Linked DNA regions of Nothobranchius furzeri. The protein of the gene in region 7 interacts with the protein of the main gene of each other region in a biochemical or structural test. Links are inferred from orthologs where the notes say so. Each region holds a gene or a part of one and is shown on either strand. Other genes may lie near its edges. The genes, in order: abl1, rbbp8, eukaryotic translation initiation factor 4E-binding protein 1, chek1, atr, rpa2 and atm.

Region 1 (3,552 bases), on a different chromosome or scaffold from region 7:
GGGTGGAAGGTCTTTACATACTGTAGGCCTTTATTTTTGATAAAACCCTATCAGGAAAACAGCCTGTTGACCTTGTTGCCCCGATCCAACGCTATGCTACCGATGGCTTTTATTTGAGAGAAATCTGTATCGTCAAACATTTGCATATATTAAAAAATAAGATCCAGTCTAAGAAAAGGGTTCAACAGATCACCAAATTGCAGATCATGCACCTGTGCCAGTCGGTACAGCCAAGAGGCGTGCTGTTTTTTTTCTCTAGTGGAATTGCAAACATTTACGTTCCGTGAACCAAAAGCCACTCTCAAGCATGCCAAAGCTTTATATTTGCACCTGAACGTGTGAAGGCTGAAGCAGGCCTGCTGGTAGTGTTACAGGCACCGTTTGTTACCCAAGTGTGCAGGAAAGCAACATAGTGAAGGAAGGCTGGAGGCTCAAAACTACCTTAAGCCAATGCTCCCATTACTTTATGGCACGTGGTTGCCAACACTCTTAAAAACACACTTGCACAATCTCATCCGCATACAACCCAATACGAAAATACAACTTAAAATGCATCGATGAGGTTAAGTGTTTATAGTAATTGTCGAAGCTCAACAAAAACGAATGAAAGCAGACATTTTCATGATCGTACTGATTTGTGGGAGGGGTTAAATCAAATAGAATACATAAGACATCAATTGGAAGATGATTGGTGACATGGAGAATTGGCCCCAGCCTCATTAAGGCCTACGTGATGTGCATTCAAAGATACAACTGTCTAAAAAGATCCACATACATTTTCAGCTGACTCAGTTCATTGTAACCACAGGATTAATAGTCAACTGTAACGAACCTACAGCGCTGTTCTCAAATGCATCACACCCCTCACTGGCCACAACACAGAAGGAGTAATGGAATTTAAGTTCATATAGTCTCGATCATTGGACGTTTAAGGTGCTACCTCTGAACTATGTCCGTGATCTCCTTAATCGAGGACAGCAGCTTTTTGAAGTCCTGCTGAGCACTAGAGCCCCCCGTGGCAGAGGGGCAGATTTGAAGCTCACGCAAGCTGGTCTCAAGCTTGTTGTTGGCCTCTCGAAAAGCAAACTTGTTCCTCATATGTTGAATGGAGTCAACATAGCTCGTGCAGTACTTCGACAGGTTCTTGCCGGTCTCCAGCACGGCGCTGTGGCTCCCAGTTTGATCCTCCATGCGGGAGATGGCGAGGAAAAGCTGCTCTGCCCCATCCAGCAACATGTCACGCGTCACGGCTGAGTTTGGTGTGCGCTCGGAGGATTGGCGGGGCGCTGTCTTGCGGAGAGAGCGTCGAGCAAATGCGGTTGAGTTCTGATCGGTGTTGGGGGTGAGAGAGAAGCCTCCCTGGCTCAAGCTGGAGGGAGAAAGGGTCAATGAAGTGGAGGGTTTGAGCGGTTTATAGGTAGAGCTCAGGGGCGCCTTTTTGGATCCCTCACTGGTGGGCGAGCGTGCTTGGTCACTAGCAGCAACTGTGTGGTGGGAATCTGAAATGGAAGGAAGGTACTTGATTTTGATGTCTGAGGGGGAAGACGAAGGGGAAGACGAAGGTGAGGGGAGTTCTTGAGTGGGGCTACGGGCGATCTTACTGGTTTTGGCACCAGTGGGAGGTGGAGGTGGGGCTGGTTTGGGTTTCTGGAACTTCCCTCTTCCCCTGACAGACGAGGACTCTACCATGTGCTTGCCTCTGCGGGCTTTGCACTCTTCAACTCCTCCTAAAGTGAGTAACACTTCAGCACCGATCCTGGAGTTCTCCTGCCCGGGCACACCGGGTCTCTTTACCACCTTTGGTGTCAATGCCTGGAAACTGGGACCAGAACAGGGTTCTGTGTCTTTTCCAAGGAGAGAAGAAGAGGCCTCTGAGGAAGTGTTCAGACGTGGTGGAGGAGTCAGGGTGCCCATTCGCCGGGTGTTCTCTCCTTTCTGCTCATTGGTCCTCTTTACCGGGAGAGCTGGTTTACCTCCAAGAGTGCCTGACTGAAAGTGGCGCTGGCCCAGATCTCGTGGCAAAGTGACTGATTTCCACTCAGTACCACCTCGACCATTGGACATGTTGGAAGGCAAGAGGAACCGGTTTGAATTAGAAACGGACTCCTCTTCACTAGGTGGTGTCATGGCCATCTTGCTCCCAGGACCAGGTGCTGTAGAAGCTGCCTTCTTTCTGGAGTACGAAGTTCCTGGGTAGTTAGCATTACCTCCTGCACCATTATTGATAGCAACCAAAAACTTTGAAGATTCAGTGCTAGGGGATGTGTCATTAAGTGACAAAGATGCACCGTTGTTGAAATTGTCATTGTCTTGAGGATCAGGAGTCACAACTCTCCTGTCGGTGTGGAAGTCGTCTCTGAAGGAGGAGCTGCGTACAGGTGGAGTTGGTGCACTCTTTTTCTTTTTCTTGATGAGGCTGAGGAAATTACTGACACGTGTCTTGTCTCTGGGCATCAAGCGGTCGTCTTCATTCAAGTTGTTGTCCAGCATGGAGTGCTCTTTCCTATGAAGCATTGGTGAGGAAACAGCCACCTCCGGATCCACTGGGTCTGAGGAACACCACAGACACGTCGCAGGTGAGAAAAACAGGAAAAAGTTATCCAATAAAAAATACATAAAATAATGAAAACTACTAAAATTTATGTGACATTTGAAAATGAAACATTTGAAACCACTTCTATAGCCACAACTCCACTATAAAAATTGTACAAAATTTCTGAGAGAGGGAAAATATGATGGCTCGGTCTGGTCCTCCCAGCCCTTTTAGGACTTAGCTATTACATCAGTATAACACAACTGCTTTGGCGGTGAGGGACGTCACTGATTAGATGCAAAAGGCGTCCACAGACATTTATAACATTAAAGGAGTTTGATTTTGTCAAAGTACGTAGGTCACATCGTTCAGGGCAATGGTTCCTAACCTTTTTTCACGAGAACACCCTTTCCTGTGTCCAAGACAAGCCAGGGCCCCCCAACCCTTACTCCTACGTGCATGCACACAATTAAAGTGAATAATTACAAATATATACAGAGTGGTGCCTCTATTGGGTGTGTTATCTGGATTTTATAAATGTAGTTTTTACAACTATAATCCTGGTAATCTCATAACTGCAGCACATACAAAATTGTGGGGAACCCCTTGGGGAGTCATGGACCGCAGGTTGGGAACGACTGGTTTAGGGATGGCAGAGAGCTCTTGTTTGACATGAAAAGCTGCAATCAATAAACAGAAGAAACACTAGTTTTTATTGTGCTCTTACTAAAGACCATACAGCAGCAGAAAGTGGTGCGTTGTGGAGGAACTGTTGCCAGACTTGTTGGCATTGGGACTCTAGAAACAGCAACTTTAAAGCAGTACCAACGCGGCTTATTTTCTTTTTCTTCCATTCTGCTTCACCAGAAACCCTTCCAATTTCTAAATACCAGCTGTTTGGTGACGTCTACCGATAGAATTATTTCCCACTGAATGGCTTAGAAAGCAGTCCTTTCGGCTCGGCCCAGTAAAATGGAGCAACGCAAAAAAACTGTGAAGGTCTGGTAAAAAATTACCCA
Region 2 (2,928 bases), on a different chromosome or scaffold from region 7:
AGCCAAATTTAAGACTTTTTAAGGCCACTTTGACCAAATTTAAGCAATTTTTTAAAATTACATTTAAGCTATAATTTCCAGCTATTGCCTGGAACCGGTGCCAACCACGTCACGAACGTGGGATTAGCCATCCAGCTACCATTAAACTTGCAATTCCCCATGGCGCAAGTTCCCGCTAGCTTAATCAGCTAATGTGCTCATCTAAAAAGAGCCCCCTTTCCCAGCCAACTGAATGTGTACGGTTCCGCTTACGCCAACATCGTGCACAAAAATGCTGAACACTAACTAGAAATTCACGAAATTTTTATAGAAATAAAAGAATCTTGTTTATTGGGTCTTGGGTAATTTTAGACCTTCGGAAACTATTTAAGGATTATTTGTCATTTTTAAGGATTTTTAAGGCCTTAAATTTGGAAAAGCAAGTTTAAGACTTTTTAAGGACCCGCGGATACCCTGTATATAAAACCTAGGAGATGATGAAGACAGGTTCTTGGTCAGCATCAGGTTTTTATAAGTTATTTTTATTAGACAGTGTCAATGTTTGAACTCTGCAAGAGTTCAGGGTTTTATAGAGATTTAAGGGAATAATTAGAACTAATCGGTGAGGGATGTTTCAGGTCTGCTGCTGCCGTTGCTTTGGAGAGAATAAAACATTAAACGGTTGTCGTCTCCGTGAACGAGCCTGGGGGTTCGTCTCTTCCTTGATGTAACCTGTAACACAGAATATTATAAAGCTCTAGTAAAACCACCATTAGACGAAACAAGAAGCGTTCCATTACCTCGCTCCACACACGTCTGTGTCGATGGAAATCCCACTTCCCAGAAGTTTTCAGGAGTACACGGAGGAATGTGCAGATATCGGTGTCTGGAGCAGGCAGACAGCTTTTTCTGTTTCTCCTCCTCTGGCAGATGAGCGTAGTACTAAAAGGAAGCCACAACCGTGTCAACAGCACCCAGGAATAAACACGCACCGGCTTCAGGCTCTACACACTCACAACGTCACATTCTTTACAGGTGGTGCCCTTCAGTTTTCTTCTCTCGTCCTTCTTGCGGATTACTGCCACGTGTTTAAATGTTGGCCGTCTAAAGCAGAGAAAACCGTGAGACGGGTGACGATCGGATAAACGAGGTGCAGAGTGATGGTCCTTACCCAGATCTGGATCGAGGATCTTCGTCTAAATGAAAGGAAACCAATCAGGAGATGAAGGTCAAACTCAGAATATCAGTGAAATAATGTAGGTGTTCAAAATCAATCTCTACCATGCGGTTCCTCCTCTTCATCTTGCCCTTCATCCTCTTCATCAGGCCTGCTCCGGTCTAACTGGGACTTATACTCCCCATAAGCTGTTGTGTCAAACATCATATCCAAACTGTCGTTTGCCTTCTGGCCGAGTCCTGAGAAGCGAACAGACCAGACCACCATCTTGTGTTAACGGATTATAATCCAACACCTGACTGTGGTTATTTAAAGACTTGACGGTTATTTTCACCAGACTTCGTGTCTCCTCTGCTCGGACCGTCTCCTCCTCGCCGCTGCAGCATGCTGTGGCTGACCCAAGTGCAGTCCGTGTCTGCCAGGTCTCTGTGATGCCGCTGTTCTTCTATTTCCTAAAACACAAAAGCTTTTAAGCCAATAAAACAACCCAAACATCTACACATAAAAAAAGCCAAACGACCCAGAGGCTGCACCTCGTCTCTCCTCTGCTCGCTGTTGTACACGGACAGAGCCAGTGCAGGATCGATGCTCCACGCCGGCTCCACTGTGAGCTGCTCGTCGACTGAGAACCCAGACAAGTCGAGTTTAAGGAGTGAAGAGTTTGAAATCCAACAGGATGAGATAAGGACCGTAAATGATAGGATTTCACCATCTTTTGGTTGTTTGTGTGAAGCATCCTGATCCTGCAGAGGCGTTTTTTTCTTCCCATCGGTTTCTGACTTAGATTTACTCGGCGGCTTCTTGAAATCAGAACTGAAACCAGGAGCTCTAGCTTTCTGACTGGTCCCAATGTGTTCTGCTGACTGGCCCTGGAAAATAAAACACTTATAAAAACCTGCTTTAAATCATGGCTTAACAGATGAGCTCCCTGTTTGGTCATGCCTTATTAACTGGTGGCTCACAAACAGAAGTCGCTGTTTGGTTGACGTCTCTGGGATGCTCATGTTTGCCCCCTCCCTGGATTCCTGCTTCGCAGAGTCTCTGTGAAACACTTTCGTCCTTTTTGTGTTTTGAGCTGCAGACCGAGCCTTCTTCTAAAAAGCGTTTGACAGGAGGGAGGACAGACAGGGACCTCTCCGTGGTGGAGTCTGGACTGTGGGTCAGTGTGGACACAGAGGAGCGCTCGTAGGGCCTTAAACAGGAGAAACAAACCAGCAGGGAGGAGTTTTTTAGCGCATAGTCAGATAAATGCAGGCCGGCTGCAGTTGGTCTTACTTTAAATGAGCATTGTGCTTCCAGGAACTTCTAGAGGCACGTTGATGATCTGGAGCCGTCTCCTTTACCTGGGAGCAAAATGTTTTAAACATAAAAATGTCATTATTGTACGATTATGTATCAGTGATTGGTTCCTAAACTATTTTACTTACAATGAGATTGTTAGCAAGTTCAAAGCCACAGGTATCTGGGATAGCTTCCAGCACACCTTCATTCACATCATCTGGAAAGAGACAGACACCAGACAGGTCAACTTCTGTCTGATAATAGAACTAAACCAGGAGAAGTGGACATAAATAGATTGTTTCTGATCTAAAGGAATATAAATAAAGTTATATTAAATGTAAAAAAAAAAAAAAGATTATTCTTGTTTTGATTAACTTGTATTAGAAAAGACATCTTACTGGATGTCTGGGGTGCATCCAGTTCACAAGTGTTGGGCACCAGCACTTCTGTTTTCCTGGGATTCCTTCCATCTCTAGCAGCTTTTTTGTTTT
Region 3 (4,160 bases), on a different chromosome or scaffold from region 7:
TCTGGATGCTAGAAAAGAGTCCAAGTTGGTGCAAAGCAGAGCGTGTTGTGGTTACACCAGTGAGACGAGGAGCCCTGCAATGGACTGCTGAAACATGCACCAAGTTCATGCAAAAATGTTAACTCTTGCAAAAACTAGAGAACACATGTATATTCCTTTAGAATGGATTGAAGACATTATTAATAGCATATTACTCGATACTAAGGAATGCAACTGCGCACATGCACAAAAAGTTTTTAATATAAAAATGGCTATATATATGAAACATACAAATATATATATTTACTTAGAATGCTATGCACCCCTGTCAACTGGGATTCCTGTTATGTTATGGATGTCCTTTTTGCATCATACAGCTGTAGCTACTAAGAGACTTTTAAGTTTGGGTAATGCCTGCAACCTGGGGATAAATAGGGGTTTTGTGGGTGTTTTAACTTATTTTGTTTGCTTTTTTATTGTCATGGAGAGTCAAACATAAAATATACATGTGAAAACCTTTTAATCCAATCAAAATCTGAGGGCATCTGTTGACAATTTACTCTGTACACCAGCTCAACATTTACAAAAATTAATAAAGAAATGAAACATCTTTGCGTATTGCGTGTAATTTTTTTCATGTCTTTAAATGACGTTTCTTGACTTTGAAGTGTGTTTTTTCCTGACTGACACAGTGAGTAGATCTTCGCTCGTTTAACCATCCTGCCAGGAGATGCATCAAGCTTTGGGGGAAGTCTGTTATAGACGTGCTGCAAAAAAGAAACATGAATTCAAAGAAATTCATGAAATCTGAATCTGATTTAAAAGCTTCTCTTTGTGTTATTAAAACTTGTGAAGTTATAGATCTAACATCTCAGAGCTAGGAATGTGGTCAGAATAAATAAAACAATTATGTAAGGGCTTTTAAAAGCAAATTGTATTGAAAATACATTAAAATGCCGAAGAAACACACACACACACACACACCTGAATAAATTCAATAATTATATTTGAGCAGAAGATGACAGCAGGATTTACTTACTGATTTTGCTCCTTTTAAATAAATCATCTGTCAACTTGACATGATTTAAAATCATTTCGGAGGCGGACTAGAATAAGGCAATCTTCTTGTTGAAAGCATAATAACGCAATATAACGTTCCTTAAAAGGTGAAAATCTGGAACAGTGTCTGCAGATTTTGTATTTAAGAAAATTTTCAAATAGAATGAGGTGAAAATAAATACATAGTTTTTTAAAAATAATAATAATAATTATTATTATTATTTTAATCTCTGTAGCCTAGTATGCACCAGTAGATGGCGGAATAAATTCGTTTAGTTTGCACCGAACAGCGTTCTCCCTACAGGGCTGCAGCAGCCTGTCTGTATGCCTTGATGGTCTGCCTGCGTATGTCTGTGTGTTGTTTTGTGTGCATGTGGAAACAGAGAAACGGGTGCTGCTGAGGTCCTTTTTCACCAAACATCCTCGACCCGTTTTGAGTGAGAGCGCGTGTGTTAATGTGGCTAACTTTAATCGCCATAGTTTGCACTCATGAAATCTAGATATTTATTTTTATTCATCAGAAGGCGACCGTTCTGCTGCTGAGCCAAATCTAACACTCCTCTGGCTTTGTTCTGTCAAACCCAGACGTTCTTCTTGTTTCATGTCATCCAGTTAGTTACTTTTAATTTTTTAGTTGAGAGAAGATGTCCACAGACTTTCAGAAGACAAATGCCAAGGCCATCCCGTCCACCAGGACAGTGGCCGTCAACGAAGCGGACCACATGCCACACGACTACTCCACTACTCCCGGGGGGACCCTTTTTAGCACCACACCGGGCGGTACGTTGTGTGTTTTTAACTCCACATTAACGTTTGTGTGCTTGGTCAAAAGGTCAGTGGCACGAGACCTGAATCCATTTAACAGCAGCGTTGTTGCGTGTGTTCATGCTAACTCCATGAGGTCGGCTTGGCTGCTGTCATCTGATAGCTAGCTATACTGAAGCTAACCGCTAACGCTAACTAGCGATCATTGAAAAAACAGAATAGTGAAAAACTAAAAAGTGGCTTTGAGGCATATGACCAATGTCGTTTTGTAAATGTAATTTTGCAACACAATAACTAATTTTCAATTAAGTGAAAATCGTTTTTAGGGTTTTACTTTGACTTCTGTACATCTTGTCACTGGGATCTGAGTCACGTGATCAAATCGGTGCTCTTGAGTTTATTGGCGGTGACCTAACCAGTTTAAAAGCCCATTACGACCACCTACTGGACTGGAATTTGGGATCAGATGCAGCAAAAGAAAAAAATCCAGTGGTGGGCCTAGAAAAACATGTACGGGGTGGCAGAAGGGGGCAAAATTTTGAGGATGGTAAAATGGAGCATAAATTACTATACTCTTTGGGCACACAAAAGCTTTTGAACTAAACTATCCATTAAAAATGTGTCTGTGAATTCCTATGCACTGAGCTGTACCAAGGTCAGCATAGATGCACTATATGGAAAGAAATAATAATAACAATAATGGATTGGATTTATACAGTGCTTTTCTTGGAACTCAAAGCGCATTCCATTAAAGTCCCATTAGTCATCATCACACGCTGGTGAAATGACATCTCCGTATTTGACCCATCCTCATGGGGAACGGTGAGCTGTAGCAGTGGCTGCACTCGGGAACTATTTGGTGGTTAAAGATGAGTGTCTAGCAGGGAGGCATTGGGTCCCATTTTTAACTCATTCACTGCCAATAGTCGTCATTGGAATTTTTTTACTGTGTGGGCATTGGAACGAGTCCCCGCGCCGAGAAGCAAACGTCTCAGCTCTGAAGCTGATCTTCATCCGCATACGTCACAGGTCACATGACCAGGAAGCAGAAAATCCATGTGTTAGGAGATCGGTTTGGGTTGTTCCTTTAAAAAAAAAAACATGAGGCGCGAACCGGAAAAGCGTCTGCCGATCACAATTCGACAACGAATTATGAAAGAATGGATAACGCTTGAAACACGCGGATTCTTCCTGATCTAAGAGGTGAGTCTCCTCTTTGTTTTGGTTGTTTTGGCGTCGACATCATCCTAGCGCGCAACGTTCTGTGACTCTTAAAAAACAGTAAAAATGGCGAGAAATGCTGGCAGTGAAGGTCTTCAGCGATCAGGAAATGGCTGGCAGTGAATGAGTTAAAGTCTTTGGGATAACCCGATGAACCACGATCTCCCAGTTCCAGTGCGGACACTCTTACCACTAGGCCACTCAGAAGGTTATATTGTTCACACTCTCACGTTCACACTGCCGGGGATGGTAAGCTACGATGTAGCCACAGCCACTCTGGAGTGGGCTGGCATTTTGTGCCACCACCAACACAATGTTTCACTGCAACAAGGTACTAAACTTTAGTTTTATTATTCACTCAAACACATTTCTTTCCCTGTTAATTCATCAGTATTTACATAACCATATATGTTTTTTTTATTTCAGGTCATTATTTTATCAGCTTGTGTCATGATCGGTGTAATCGGACATGCTACTTTCACATTCATAATGTCTGATTTGCCACAACTATTTCATGAATTATTGCTGCCTTCTTCTGAGGTGGCAAAACTTTCCTTTAGGGAGGCAGTTGCCACCCCAGTAGATCAGCCCCTGAATAAATCCAACAAAACTAGATTTTTTTTTAAATCTGACAGATTGTTTATTTTAAGAGTTTAATGAGGTCAGAGCTGTTACTGCTTTGCCAAAGAGGCTTCATTGTTTAACTGACATTGTGATTAAAACTAGGGATGCACCGATACCTCTTTTTTCCAAACCGATACGATACCGATACTTGGATCTGGGTACTTGCCGCTGCCGATTACTGATACCGATACTTCCACCACACAAAAAAATGCAATGATATGGAATACAGATTTTATTTTCTTCTCTGCTTTCAACAGGAAAAGACTGTGAGGTAAATAAAAAGTAAAATATATGAATGGAAATCATCACAAAACTAAAATATTAGGTGAACAGAAATGACAAGTTACAGTGAAGCCATTTTCAAGCAACTGCATTGGTATCGGTTCCTGGTATCGGTTAACTTTCACTGATACCGATACTGGTATCGGTACCGATGCCAGTATCGGTATCGGTGCATCCCTAATTAAAACAGACCTGTTATTTATTTATTTCAGATTTACGTTAATAACACA
Region 4 (3,500 bases), on a different chromosome or scaffold from region 7:
TTTGAACAACAATAAAAACTGTTTATGCTTCTGACATCATTTAATCACTGAAATCCAACATAAAGGGGTGTTTTAATAATTTATTCAACTTTGGATTGTAACACAACAAAGAAAAAGCAAACACTTGGGTCACAACGGAAGGTTGAGTAAAACCATGTCAACCACAACTCTGCTCTGATAAATATCCTACTTTGAGCTTCCCTAATAACAAAACTAAAACCACGATTCACCTTCGACACGTCAGCAGAACAACAAGTCCACTTTTAGACGGGCTGTTTGTAAAAACGTCTCATGGAACTAAAACCTTCTGAGTGCTGACGATGTCAGCAAGCTTGTGTTTTATCCTCACAAAGACGCGCTTGAACTCCAAACCGTCACCCTGAAAACACACACACACACACACACACACACACACACACACACACACACACACACACACACACACACACACACACACACACACACACACGTCAGTTTCAAGGAAAAACTCAAAGGCAGAACAGCACACAGTTCTGAGAGAACAACCTTAGACAGCCTGAAGTCCAGCAGCACTCGCTGGCTCATTTCTAGTAGATGGACTTTGAAGATGAGCTTGTTGTTACGTTTGTCCAGCATGCTCACAGTCACCTGAGAGGCAGAGATCTGTTAATCAACAAGAACGTACTAAAGGAACGGGTCTGAACCAGTAGTCTTTGTACTTCCTGGTTTTTGATCATTCGTTTTAGAAGCAGAAACCATAAAACCAAAATGAAAGACATCTGGAGTTTTACATTAAATAATAAAGTGATGGAAATAAGTTAACCAACAGAACTGACGAGCTTCAAATTACACATGGACTCATGGACCCGTTTGTGATACACATAATGAAAATGTAGAAATTAAATAAATAACACGCACACATTACGTTATCCAAAACTGGACCAGACAAAGTTACCAATGTCTCCACGTCTGCAAACAAACAAAGCTGTTGACTTGTTAAGGATTCGAGATCCAAGGATTAGAATCTTTATTCTGTGCAAAAGAAAATGTTGTTACAGCCACCATGAAACTCTTACCTCGTCACCCAAACTGCCAAACTAAGCAGGAATAAAATAGATAAGATTAAATAAACATAAAAAATGCTATCTTAAGTGTAGACTGTACAGAAAGTTGTGGTACACACTCTGCAGAGAGGGTTGTGGAGTCCGGGTAATCTTTGAAAGTCTTAACTATGCCCTGCAGGCATTTAGGATCCCTGGTGCTGTTCCCACACCACACTGTGATGCAGCTAGTAGCTGCTGAGGCATATTTAGCATTAAAGCAAACACAATGGTCCTTGTTGTCAGCTTATTGAAATGAACATGTGTGATACCCAGGGCTGGGTTTGGATTTTTTCTGATAACAGTACCAGTATCTGAATGGCACTTTTTGGGGGTATCTATACTTTAAGGGTTAATTTTAATAGAAAAAATTACTTGCATGTTTTTTTATTTAGTACATAAAACAAAATGACTATTTTTCTTTGTGCAAACAGTGAACTATAATTAAGCAAACATCTTTCTTTTAGAGAAATAATTATGACACAATTTTCTTAAGTAAATTAAATAACTATTTATCTTTTAGTGCAAAACCAAAGTTTAAATTCTGAAGGTAAAGTACTAACTATTATCCATCTATCTATCAATTCAATGCCCCCACGACCAGACTCCACTTATCCAGAGTTGGGTCGCGAGGGTAGCAGCGTAAGCCAAGAAGCCCAGACTTCCCTCTTCCCAGCTACTAGGGCCAGCTCCTTCAGGGAATCTCAAGGCGTTCCCTGGCCAGCCGAGAGACGTAGTCCCTCCAGCGTGTCTTAGGTCTTCCTTTAGGTCTTCTTTCGGTTGGATGTGCCAGAAAACCTCACCAGGGAGGCATCCTGACCAGAAGCCCGAGCCACCTCATCTGACTCCTTTCGACGTGGAGGAGCAGCGAGTCTACTCTGAGCCCCAACCCAGCCGCTTCACACTCGGCTGCAAAACGCTCCAGTGAAAGCTGGAGATCATGGTCTGATGAAGCAAAAAGGACCACATCATCTGCAAAAAGCAGAGACTCAATCCTTAGGCCACCAAAACAGATCCCCTCAACACCTTGGCTGTGCCTAGAAATCCTGTCCATAAAGGTTATGAACAGAATCGGTGACAAAGGGCAGCCTTGGCGGAGTCCAACTCTCACTGGAAATGAGCTCGGCTTACTGCCGGCAATGCGGACCAAACTCTGGCACCGGTCATACAAGGGCCTAACAGCCTGTATAAGAGAGCCTGGTACCCCATACTCCTGGAGTACCCCCCCACAGGACGCAGTTAAACACCTTCTCCAAATCCACAAAACACATGTAGATTGGATGGGTAAACTCCCACACACCCTCCAGGATACCCCTAACCCCCAAATTCCACTACCTCCGCTCCGCTCCGGCACGAACTCCGGAGCAAAGTCGGTCCCGTTGTAGTCAATCAGAGCAATTCCACTACTGCGGCCGTGCTCCGGCAGTGCACCGCCCTCTGTTCCGGCGTCCAGCATGAATCGATCCTATTTTTGCCGGACGCCGAAGCACCTCCGCAGTCAATGGACAGGAATCACAACTGCCCAACAGGAAAAGGAGCAAGCACAACTTCCGTTTTTCACAATAAATCGATAAACAAAAGGCGTTTTTTGTTTCATATGCACAAGTTTAACAACCTTTAACAACTATCAATGGCGGCTGAACTTTAAATGCACAAAAGTAAGCCATAAATACAGTTTCCACTATCAAAATAGTCACACTTTGTTGATCTAAACACTGCTGACCTCTCAACATAAATGATGGGCAGATTAAAGAGTTCATTTCGATTCTTCTCCCACACAACGGGTGTTTGGATCTAACTTCCGCGTTTATTGCTCGGACTGTATCGCAAGATCTCGAAAATCCCGCGCATGCTCGTTTGCCCACCTCAGGTCTCCGCACCGGAGCGGAGCCGTTGTAGAGCGGGTATAGTATAATTTGAGTTCGGAAGCGAGCGGCTGCGGAAGGCGGGGGCGGACCGGGGCGGAGCGGAGGTAGTGGAATTTGGGGGTAAGGCTGGTCCAGTGCTCCACGGTTGGAACACACTCTGCGGTCCCCTCAGACTGCCAATCCAGTGGAACTGTCCCCCATGCCCATGCGATACTACAGAGCTGCATCAACCAACACAACCTCACAACATCCAGAGCCTTACCCCCAAATTCCACTACCTCCGCTCCGCTCCGGTCCGCCCCCGCCTTCCGCAGCCGCTCGTTTCCGAACTCAATTTTACTGGTACCCACTCTACAACGGCTCCGCTCCGGTGCGGAGACCTGAGGGGGGCAAACAAGCATGCGCGGGATTTTCGAGATCTTGCGATACAGTCCGAGCAATAAACGCAGAAGTTAGATCCAAACACCCGTTGTGTGGGAGAAGCATCGGCATGAACTGTTTAATCTGCCCATCATTTATGTTGAGAGATCAGCAGTGTTTGGATCAACAAAGT
Region 5 (3,500 bases), on a different chromosome or scaffold from region 7:
AGTCAGCTGATGGTAAAATCACTGTATGATAAATATCTAAATTAATATCTATCTTAGAATAAAAAAGAATAAGTACGTGTTTTAGGGTTGTCATGGTAACCGGTGTAGTGGTAAACCCCAGTATAAAAGTTGACAATAATAATAACCGTCTTGTTTTTAAAAAAACTATATTATCTCGGTGGATTACCGTGGCTGCGGTGTAGGTGTGGTGACCCTTACCAGCCACCGTATCATCTGCTGAAGTTGCCGGCGGCACATGCGCGCTTTGTTGTTTACAACCAAAACTTTCTTGAAGCTAAAACTGAAATAATGGCCAAAGGAGGAGACGGCAGCGCTCAGGAGGACATTTATTATCCCTCAAAGAAGACAAAGTGGGAAGTACGGGCATATTTTGGATATTTGAAGAACGCCGAGGGACAGTTGATAGTTGATATCCTGTTTGCAGCAGGTGCAGAAAAAGTGTCTGTGAAAGGCAGCAACGCTTCAAATCTCATGACACATCTGCGTGACCATCACCCACAACTCTACAGTCAACGCAAGGCAAGCTAACGTTAGCGTTTTAGCTAAAATGCGTGATCCGAGGATTTGGGTTGAGGGAGAAAGCAACGAGTCGCTATATAAAGCAGCCGCACCGCCGCTACCTGCCTTATAAACCGTGTCACAGACACCCCCATGTTGAAATGACGCTATGCATTACGGGGCTCCCAGGGGCAGATAAGAGTTGGTCTCTCTCAGAGAATAATTATGAATTTAACAATGATTACTGCCTGATGACATTTTCCCACATCTGCAAAGCTCACTGGAAGGACACAAACCGAGGACAATATATTCCTGATATAGGGTTTATTACTCAAGTAAGGGTAAAAAAGTATCTGATTAGAAGGCTACTTGAGTACTGAGTATCATCTGATCTAATATTTTAAAATGATGACATCAAACAGACAAAAAATAAGAAGTTATGGGCAAATCTTGGTATTTTAAAGACTAAAGGGGAAAAATGTAAACAAATAAACAACATAATTACAAAATAACACATTTTAGGCAAATTTTAGACACAAACTGAGGACAATATTTTCCTGACGTACAGGGTTTATTTAATTGTGTGAAAATGTAGCACGTTTAAAAAAAATACCGCGATAATACCGAAAACCGTGATAATTTTGGTCACAATAACCGTGAGGTTACATTTTCACACCGTGACAACCCTAACGTGTTTACAGGCCTTTTTTGTCAAATATGTACCTGGCAGATGGGGTTCTTGTATTGACTGAAAAGCGTCTGCAGTTTCAGACCTTTGGCAGCAGCCAGCGCACTGATCTGAGTGTACGCAGCCACAGACACTGAGGACGACTTGGACAGAAGACAGTGGAGGAGACGTAGCAGACAAAAGGACACCAAACTACCCTGAGAGGCTCTAACAAGAGAGGACAGAGAGGGACGATGGATACACGAGAACATCATTTCTCTTTCTGCTGAAAACTAAATTCATTAAGAATATCAGCAAATTTGAATTGCTTCTATGTTACTCAAAGATTAAATGAAACAAGAGAAAAGTGCATTTATACCTGCCAATCTCTCCGGTGGTGAGGATGAGAGTGTTTCGTAGATCATCATCTCTGTTGACTTTAGCGTTGTTGAACGCCTCCTTAAGACGTGCAACCAGAAGCTGAATGAGCAAAAAACAATAATATATGATTAAAAACGCCATTATCCCCAAAATACTCAAACCAAACCAACCATCAACAGTTTTTTTCTATTAGAAAATGTCGTACCTCATTCAAAACGCCATGCTCTGAGTTTTTGTTGGTCTCTGTCAACAGAAAGCGCACAGATTGGCCGAAGCGTGTTCTAACTGCAGGATCCGAATCCTCCATGAGGCCAATCAGGGCACAGAGAACTGCTCGGGAATCACCGTCTCCACCAGTCAGGTTCACATGTTGGCAGAGATGAGGCAGAGCTTCCAGAAACGCTGGTGAAGCAAAGGAAGCAGTGAGGCAAAGGCTTCCTAATGACAATGACACAAATCAACTAAACTGAAGAAGAACTCAAAGCACCTTGTTTAACACGACTTGGACATTGTGGTCTGAGTAAAGGGAGAAAAGGTCTAATGATAGAAGCCTTGAGAGATGCTTTTTCTTTCCCAGCATGCTCTGCTGCAAGGCTGCAGCAGAGACAGAGTATTTTAGGAGGACACGGGGACTCCACGCGGATGTCACAAAGCTCGGAGAGTCCTGAGGAGATGCAGCTGAGCTGACCAACAATCCTGGCGAGCTCCATCTTCACCTGCTCTGATGTGTCTTCCAGCATGGGCCTGAAACACCCAAGATGCAACACAAAACAAGACAGCAGCAATAAGCAAAAATGACAAAAACACTACAAGCTCATGAATGCCTGCAGAGAGGTTTTACACACAGCAGCGTCGTGTTAATCAGGTCATCCTGGGAGTCTCCCAGGTGGTGAAGGAGAACCGGGAAGACCTTGACAGCTGCAGCTCTCGGTGCCTCATTCTGACTCTGCAGCATGTTGCTGAAGACACACACACGCCACTTATCACACACACCGTGGTGCAGAAAGGCCAGCAGTGACACACAATCTGCCTGGACTTCAGGTGCTGAAAAGTCACAGAGTTTGATGTTAAATCAATTTGAAACTCACTCAGCTACGCAATATGTTTCTGAAGGAAAAAATGGTAATAAATTAGTATTTATCACCAGAATGTAAAGCAAGACTTGTCACGATTCCTCACCGTAACAGAAGCTGAGTCTCTGAGCCAAGGTGGGGAGCCAGGAGGGAAATCTTGAACTCTTAAAGACGGATGAAGACTTGTTCTCACACACCCATGGAAGAGACAGCAGAGCACACACATGCCGCTGGAGCTCATCCTCCACCTGGCTGCTCACTGCACAAGTATAAAAACATGATCACCACCATGCTGTTGTGATTACATTAATTCTTGACTTGATTGGTGTCAGAAATTTTACAGTAAACACGAAAACGATGGAAATAGCAACCCGAATTTAGACCTCCAGAGCTGCTTCTGTTTGCGTCCTTACATGTTAAGAAGAGAACAGAGTCAAGGATGCTGACAGTTGCCCGGAAAGCAGCATGAAAATAGTCCTGATCAGACACAGGTGGAGAGGCTCCTTCTAACACAGACTGGCAGCTCTTCAACATCCTGCCCAGAGTCCCTGGGGACAGCCAGGCCAAACGGAGTGAACTGTAGGGAAAGAGATCACAATCTGACATTGATCTTTGCAAAAAATCATCATCAGCAAGACTGGTATCAGTATTTAAGAGACATAAGTGTATTACCTGATGGGAGAGGAGCAGCAGGCTGCCAGGCGGAGGATGAGAGTTAGACCCTGCAGTGCAAACAGCACCTGTGTGCTCTGAGCTTCAGCAGAGTCCAAAAGTGTGAGCAATTCCTCAAGACGAGCGTTCAACACGGACCAAACCTCACCCTGAACCTGCATGGCCAGCTCACTACGGACATATAAACA
Region 6 (3,029 bases), on a different chromosome or scaffold from region 7:
TTATTTTCCATAACCCGTCTCTAAGTTTCACAGAAAATTGCAAAAAAAAAAAATTTTTTTTAATGCAACATATTCTATAATTAAGATGTTTGCAGTTTCACATCACTGCTGTTTGGTCAAGTTGAAAAGTTCAAATTTGCTCATTTATATTCTTCCTTCTAAAACTGTTTCATAGTTTTGTTTCTACAAGAAATGGCAACTTTTCATCTTTATGCAGACATGGAAGCAGATTTTCTCCATACAGTAACTCCTCCTCATGTAGATTACCAGAACACGAGGAGATGGCGAGGTTTTTCTTTTTGTCACAAGTAGTTCAGAGATCTGCAGATTCAGATCACATGACCAGTTGGAGACTGGAAGGAACCCTAATTTAAAAAACTGAAATAAAAACTAGCGAGTCTGTAAAGAATGAACAGATGTTCTGAAATGTTAGTGAATAAAAAAGTTTTCAAGTCTGTATTTCATGCAGATTTTTTGCTGATATTGAAGAATTTTAGAGAAAATTTCAGCCTCGTTCTTTCAAACTGTTTAATTTCTGCTTTAAAGAAGACGAGTGAGATTATGTTAGATTCACTGAAGCGGACTATAAAAGGCTACTTTTATGTTTTCCATTAATTCATTTTATTAGTCTTTAAAACTATTGATAGATAGAAACATGCAGGAACCAGTTAGATCCAGTTTACAGGGTATCTGCAGGTCCTTAAAAAGTCTTAAATTTGCTTTTCCAAATTTAAGGCCTTAAAAATCCTTAAAAATGACAAATAATCCTTAAATAGTTTCCATAGGTCTTAAATTCCCGAAGACCCAATAAACGAGATTATTTTATTTCTATAAAATTTTCGTGAACTTCTAGTTAGTTCAGCATTTTTTGTGTATGATATTGGCGTAAGCGGAACCGTACACATTCGTTTGGTTGTGAAATGGGGCTATTTTTAGATGAGCACGCTAGTGGGAGTTTGCGCCATGGGGAAGTGCAACATTAATGGTAACTGTATGGCTAATCCCACGTTCACGACGTGGTTAGCACCGGTTCCAGGCAACAGCTGGAAATTATAGCCTAAATTTAATTTAAAAAATAGCTTAAATTTGGTCAAAGTGGCCTTAAAAAGTCTTAAATTTGACTCCCTTAAACCTGCAGATACCCTGAGTTTAGTAAACATGTTTCACTCTTTCGTTCGTCCGGGACACGGAGGACAGGAGAATAGACCGTGTGCACCAGTGTTGCCCTTATTGGACGCATTAATGGAGGACTTGGTGGTTATTTTTTAATTCATTCTGCTCAGCAGTAGGTTTGGTTTTCAGCATGAGTTACTAAGGTGATTTACCCAGACAGGAAGTGAACCACATTGAGTGTGAAAAACTTAAAGTTGCCTTTCCTGTGTTGTAGCACACAACCCCAAGTCTCCAAATATATAAGCATATGTAGCCTATATATATTTTTAATTTTTCTGTTTATAAAGTTTCAGCTACTAATTCTTAGTTTGTATTTTCTTATTAAAGACGCTTTATTTATTTATTTATTTTTCTTTTCTGGGTGCGTTTATGAAGGCAAGCATCACATTTGAGCTTTTCTCTTTCAGCCGTCTGCTGCTGGAGGGATGAGCAGCAACAGCTCCATGTCTCACCAAACCCCAGCAATCGTAGCAGAAAGCCGCTCGGCTGTTAACCACGTGGCCATTAATGGGCTAAGCGCAAATCAGAATCAGGTAAATAACTGTTAAGAGGTGTACTCTAAAATGTCTTCTTTTCACCCTCCTGGAAATATTAATTTTGTAAATGATGTCTGTTTTTTTTACATATTGAGGGCTTGTGTTGATGACGTGAATATTTTATTGTTTTTCTCAAGGTGCTGAGTTTAATCAGAGGCTGCCCAGACCCACAGGGCATCAGCGTGCACGATCTGAGGCACAGACTCAGCGGCATCAGTCTTCCTGTCATCAAGTAAGACACGCTCAGCTTTGGGTGCTGCACAATTCTTCACCATCATAAAATTCACTCTGCGGTTTTACGATGACTCCGTCTGAACAAGATCGTTCTTATGCCGTTCGTGTGAACTTTTTAGGTTCTGCTTTGTGATGCTTTATCAGTTTAAAAACATCTTGACAGTGTTATTTGTGCCGTTCCAGACAAGCCGTGGAGTTTCTGAGCAACGAAGGTCACATCTTCTCTACCATCGACGAGGACCACTACAAATCCACTGACAATGATGAGTAGTCGTCTTTGAGGATTTAAATAACTTATTAGTAAAAGTCCCCTGACTCAGAGATGAAACGATTAAAGTGTTAACAGACACACTCTGAATGTTTGACATTCAGGTACTAATGGGACTTTTGGTTCCCACATCCTGTATTATCTGAGGTCACTTCTTGTTCAAGTTTCTCACTTATGGCTCTGATAGCAATTATTCCTGTTTCTTTGTAAGTATCCCTTCTCCTGTTTTGTCATTTTAAAGATTTACAATAATTTTGTTTCACCCATCTTTGTAATTCAGCTTTTCTCATAATAAAAATTAAAAATTATACAAATCTACCTGGAAGTTACTTCTTTCCTACATATAAAAAAAGAACCACATGCACAACTACAAATATCAGTTTTTCAACTTATTTTAGCAAATTTATTTGATTTTAAATATGAGCATGCACAACATTAACTTAACATTTTGTGTCAAATTCACATCACAGAATGCACAAATATAAACAACCCGGGTTTGATAAAAATACATAAGTTTATTTGTCAAAACTAGAATGTTGCACTCCTGTAGATTGACGTGGTTGGAGATGAGCCTTTTTCGGGAGTGTCTGATTATTGCATATATACAGTTTGACATCAGCATAAATATACAGTTTGTTAGTAATATTGAGTTTAAATCAGAAATATTTGCCACTGTGTTAATGGGTGTGGCAGTTGCTGTGCATCGCCACTAACTGCTTAGTATTGCACGGCATAAATAAAAACTACATGGTCTTTAAAAAACTTTTGTCTACAAGGGCTGAAAACCAATAGTACAGCTGTGTCCAAAAGTTTTGAGA
Region 7 (3,500 bases):
GAGGAGATGCACACAACATGAAGAGCGCAAATATGAGATAAAACGTATAATTGCCGGCAGGTCTGGTCTTAGTTGACTGATCACTTTGTCTGGTAATGACCGACTCTGATTATGAAGCAGATTACTGACTCTGATGAAGAAATTCACTCATCCAGCCGGGATGATTGACGCTGCTGCAGCATCAGACAGCTGGTGCTGCACGAGAGGTGTGTGGAGTTTACAAGCTCCAAATGTTGGGTTTGATGGACGTGATGGATGTAGAAATGATGGTAAAAACGCCGCAAACGTGACAGATGTAGCGATGATGTGAAAGAAATGCCGTAAAAAGGGGCAGATGCCAATGCGTTATGTGTGGAAGTCAAGTGTGCCACATAATCATAAAAAAGTAAAACATAAAATTTTAAAAGAGATTTACATATTTATATATAAATAAAACCTTTCCAAATATAATGAAAATTTATAAACAACGTAAAAATACGAAGGAACATCTGTTGGTCAGGCTGAAAAGTTAGGGAACTACTGCTCTAAGTGATAAGTGAATTTCGTTTTTTAAATATATTTTATGTGCAGTTTTATAGGGCTTTTATGTTTTCTGTAAAGATTGGTATGCTGAAAATCATTTAATGTTTTGCATAAAGCATGAGGTTTTGGTTAGTACTTGATTGGAAGAATAACAAATGACTGAATTAAATAGTGGGGCGCCTCTGTCAGTGCGCCCCAGGGCAGCTGTGGCTACATCGTAGCTCACCACCATCAGTGTGTGAATGTGTGTGTGAATGGATGAATGATACACTGTAGTGTAAAGCACTTTGGAGTCCTTACTCTGAGAGGCGCTACACAAGTGCAGATCATTTATCATTTATAGTGTTGATCAGGCAGAGCTTTGTTGCCAGCGTTCCACTGCACAATGGCTTCAAACACGTATATAAAAGTTAGGTTTTACGTAAACCGTTGGAGGACATTACACAAACTGACTGAGCTCTAGTTAAGGCGCTTGCAATAGTTTGTGTATGTGTACGTGTACGTGCGTGTGTGTGTGTGTGTGTGGGTGTGTGTGTGGGGGAGGGTACACTGGAACTTTGTCCCCCCCCCCCCAGTTTGAAAATCCTATCTGCGCCCCTGCCAGGAGAAATAGTCACATGCTGGGATAATTAGCTCTTATAATAAAACAAGTATTAGGAATCCCTCAAGACACAAATTATACAGTTTTCCTTATTATTTGAGCCACACACAGTCCACAAACTCGGAATGTGAAGTTCCGACACAAACCCAATAGTTGTGAGGTCAGAGTGTGCTGCAGGTGGCCTTTACCTGTTTGCCCAGACAGCTGCTGTCTTTCAGGAGGTCGTACACGCGGTGGGCCTTCTCTCTCTGCTGCGCTACTTCAGAGTTCTGACCCGGCAGCGCAAAGTACGGCAGGATGTTGACCATGATTTTAGGGAAGCAGTCCGCCAGTAAGAGCTTCCAGTCCTTCTCCAGGCACCTGCCGATGGACTTCACCTGCTCAAAGTCGTCCAGGAAGACCAGGTGTGGGATCAGCACCTGGTAGGAGGAGCTAAAAGGATCCAGAACAGAGGGGTTTTCAGGTCTTCTTGTATTCCTAACATTCTTACCAGAAATACAGGAAAATGTGTGTATTATCGTTCTTATTCCTTTTCTCTAAGTGTATTTGCTGCTGTAAGGAGTGAACTTCCCCACCGTGGGATTAATAAAGTCTTGTCTATTCTATTCTATTGTACAAAATGACTTGTAGACATCTTTGATTGTTGATAAATAAATGAAAAGTTAAATAAAACACAATAGAAGTAGTCTATAGATATGAAGAACATTACGACAAAAATAAATATATAACATAAATGTATGTATTCAAATAATAAAAACAATAATAACAAAATATTAAAATAAACAAAATATGTTAACAACTATAAATCTTTTCATATTTGTAAACATGTTTATTTTATGAAAATAGATCAAAACAACAAATAAAAAGATATAAAAACATATAAATAAATAAAATTCTGATGTATACACACAAATAAGATAATAAAAACCAATAATAAAAAAATAACTAACTAATAAAAAGAGAACAATTTAACTACATACATATACAGAATATATGTTGTAAATTATAACGGATAAATATGAATACAATAATGCTAATAATAATACTGACTGAAAAATTCAAACATAAATTGTAAATGGTCTGTATTTATATAGTGATTTCTTAGGGTTGTCCAACCCCCCCCCCCCAAGGCGCTTCACAGCACAATCAGTCATTCACCAATTCACACACACACACACACACACACACACACACACACACACACACACACACACACACACACACACACACACACTGGTGGGAATGAGCTACGATGTAGCCACAGCTGCCCTGGGGCGCACTGACAGAGGCGATGCTGCCAAACACTGGCACCACCGGTCCCTCCGACCACCACCAGCAGACAAGGCAGGTTAAGTGTCTTGCCCAATGACACAACAGCAGCATTCTCTGGTCGGAGCCGGGATCTAACCTGCAACCTTCCGATTACTGGACAACCCGCTCTACCTCCTGAGCTGCTGCTGTCCCATCAGACAAAAACTGAACAAAAATGCTAGAATAATAAATGACCTGTAGAAATCTTTGACCGAGTGATGGTCCAGCAGACTGTAGGGGAACGATCCCAGAGTGTAGCGGTCGTCTGACTGTCTCTGTGCGAGCCACTCAGCCACCAGGTAGAACAGGTGAGAGCTGATGAATGCCTTTACGCTCTTGTAGCCCAGAACTTTGGACACACTGCTCAACATCTGCAAAAATCAGAGAAGCACAAACACAATTAACCTCTTCCATGGCATTGATACCTGAATATTTTATCAGGAAAAAGGAAAAGTGAAGATTTTAATTGACTATTCTGACAATTTCTATGTGAAAACGTGACTTTCTACCTTTTTGATGAGCTCTTCCTCAATGTTGTTCTCCTTATAGGACTGGAAGAGCGCAAACAGACTCTGTTTTTCACACACTGGGCTACAGCACAGAACAACAGATAAACTCTTCAGCAGGGCGGCTTCGCGGTTGAACGTTTCATCCCGCTGGTCCTCCGATGAGCTGCTTCTCTGTAAAACCGCACCAGACACACGCGGACAGAATGCATCAGGGAGTATAAAAGGACCAGGAAGTTGCAACATGATCCGCTGGACCCTACCGGGAACTTCATGCCCTCCTGAGCCTTCAGATAAATGTTCTCAAACGCTGCTTGTTGGAGTTTTAGTGGCAGCATCGTCTTCTTATCCTTCCGTCTCATATCCAGAAACAGTCTGAATATAGAGGAGGACGGGTACACGAGTGTTAATGTAAGAAAACTAGAACAATAAAAAAGAACTGGCTGAACCCACCTCTCCAGCGACACGGCCACCAGCATACGGACTCGGTGGTGGGCGTCTGCCAGGTGGGATGGAAGAGCAGAAGACACGGGGTCGTCTCCGAGAGTCAGGATGGCCCA

What was found.
Region 1: of the proteins of atm (region 7) and abl1, one has a biochemical effect on the other in vitro, tested with the Homo sapiens proteins (3 studies listed by BioGRID and IntAct, with this or other methods). The link is inferred for Nothobranchius furzeri from reciprocal best matches to the Homo sapiens genes ATM and ABL1.
Region 2: of the proteins of atm (region 7) and rbbp8, one has a biochemical effect on the other in vitro, tested with the Homo sapiens proteins (4 studies listed by BioGRID, with this or other methods). The link is inferred for Nothobranchius furzeri from reciprocal best matches to the Homo sapiens genes ATM and RBBP8.
Region 3: of the proteins of atm (region 7) and eukaryotic translation initiation factor 4E-binding protein 1, one has a biochemical effect on the other in vitro, tested with the Homo sapiens proteins (2 studies listed by BioGRID, with this or other methods). The link is inferred for Nothobranchius furzeri from reciprocal best matches to the Homo sapiens genes ATM and EIF4EBP1.
Region 4: of the proteins of atm (region 7) and chek1, one has a biochemical effect on the other in vitro, tested with the Homo sapiens proteins (2 studies listed by BioGRID, with this or other methods). The link is inferred for Nothobranchius furzeri from reciprocal best matches to the Homo sapiens genes ATM and CHEK1.
Region 5: of the proteins of atm (region 7) and atr, one has a biochemical effect on the other in vitro, tested with the Homo sapiens proteins (2 studies listed by BioGRID, with this or other methods). The link is inferred for Nothobranchius furzeri from reciprocal best matches to the Homo sapiens genes ATM and ATR.
Region 6: of the proteins of atm (region 7) and rpa2, one has a biochemical effect on the other in vitro, tested with the Homo sapiens proteins (3 studies listed by BioGRID). The link is inferred for Nothobranchius furzeri from reciprocal best matches to the Homo sapiens genes ATM and RPA2.

What each region holds. Positions count from the first base shown.
Region 1 is NC_091746.1:53,706,454-53,710,005, reverse strand, and holds the end of abl1 (tyrosine-protein kinase ABL1), read right to left. Parts: intron 2,550-3,552; coding exon 937-2,549; 3' UTR 501-936; downstream 1-500. UniProt on the Homo sapiens protein: Non-receptor tyrosine-protein kinase that plays a role in many key processes linked to cell growth and survival such as cytoskeleton remodeling in response to extracellular stimuli, cell motility and adhesion, receptor endocytosis, autophagy, DNA damage response and apoptosis.
Region 2 is NC_091747.1:41,223,983-41,226,910, forward strand, and holds the end of rbbp8 (DNA endonuclease RBBP8), read right to left. Parts: coding exon 2,836-2,928; intron 2,655-2,835; coding exon 2,584-2,654; intron 2,500-2,583; coding exon 2,432-2,499; intron 2,349-2,431; coding exon 2,099-2,348; intron 2,026-2,098; coding exon 1,866-2,025; intron 1,779-1,865; coding exon 1,690-1,778; intron 1,609-1,689; coding exon 1,491-1,608; intron 1,396-1,490; coding exon 1,261-1,395; intron 1,176-1,260; coding exon 1,151-1,175; intron 1,084-1,150; coding exon 996-1,083; intron 922-995; coding exon 780-921; intron 712-779; coding exon 614-711; 3' UTR 501-613; downstream 1-500. UniProt on the Homo sapiens protein: Endonuclease that cooperates with the MRE11-RAD50-NBN (MRN) complex in DNA-end resection, the first step of double-strand break (DSB) repair through the homologous recombination (HR) pathway.
Region 3 is NC_091757.1:46,259,649-46,263,808, reverse strand, and holds the start of eukaryotic translation initiation factor 4E-binding protein 1, read left to right. Parts: upstream 1-1,360; 5' UTR 1,361-1,682; coding exon 1,683-1,818; intron 1,819-4,160. UniProt on the Homo sapiens protein: Repressor of translation initiation that regulates EIF4E activity by preventing its assembly into the eIF4F complex: hypophosphorylated form competes with EIF4G1/EIF4G3 and strongly binds to EIF4E, leading to repress translation.
Region 4 is NC_091750.1:44,924,781-44,928,280, forward strand, and holds the end of chek1 (serine/threonine-protein kinase Chk1), read right to left. Parts: intron 628-3,500; coding exon 526-627; intron 380-525; coding exon 290-379; 3' UTR 61-289; downstream 1-60. UniProt on the Homo sapiens protein: Serine/threonine-protein kinase which is required for checkpoint-mediated cell cycle arrest and activation of DNA repair in response to the presence of DNA damage or unreplicated DNA.
Region 5 is NC_091758.1:22,156,164-22,159,663, reverse strand, and holds part of atr (serine/threonine-protein kinase ATR), read right to left. Parts: intron 3,484-3,500; coding exon 3,313-3,483; intron 3,218-3,312; coding exon 3,054-3,217; intron 2,900-3,053; coding exon 2,747-2,899; intron 2,612-2,746; coding exon 2,413-2,611; intron 2,312-2,412; coding exon 2,055-2,311; intron 1,970-2,054; coding exon 1,773-1,969; intron 1,667-1,772; coding exon 1,566-1,666; intron 1,415-1,565; coding exon 1,243-1,414; intron 1-1,242. UniProt on the Homo sapiens protein: Serine/threonine protein kinase which activates checkpoint signaling upon genotoxic stresses such as ionizing radiation (IR), ultraviolet light (UV), or DNA replication stalling, thereby acting as a DNA damage sensor.
Region 6 is NC_091745.1:71,988,068-71,991,096, forward strand, and holds the end of rpa2 (replication protein A 32 kDa subunit), read left to right. Parts: intron 1-1,580; coding exon 1,581-1,706; intron 1,707-1,846; coding exon 1,847-1,941; intron 1,942-2,126; coding exon 2,127-2,214; 3' UTR 2,215-2,529; downstream 2,530-3,029. UniProt on the Homo sapiens protein: As part of the heterotrimeric replication protein A complex (RPA/RP-A), binds and stabilizes single-stranded DNA intermediates that form during DNA replication or upon DNA stress.
Region 7 is NC_091753.1:29,145,777-29,149,276, forward strand, and holds part of atm (serine-protein kinase ATM), read right to left. Parts: coding exon 3,394-3,500; intron 3,316-3,393; coding exon 3,204-3,315; intron 3,115-3,203; coding exon 2,944-3,114; intron 2,806-2,943; coding exon 2,630-2,805; intron 1,556-2,629; coding exon 1,312-1,555; intron 1-1,311.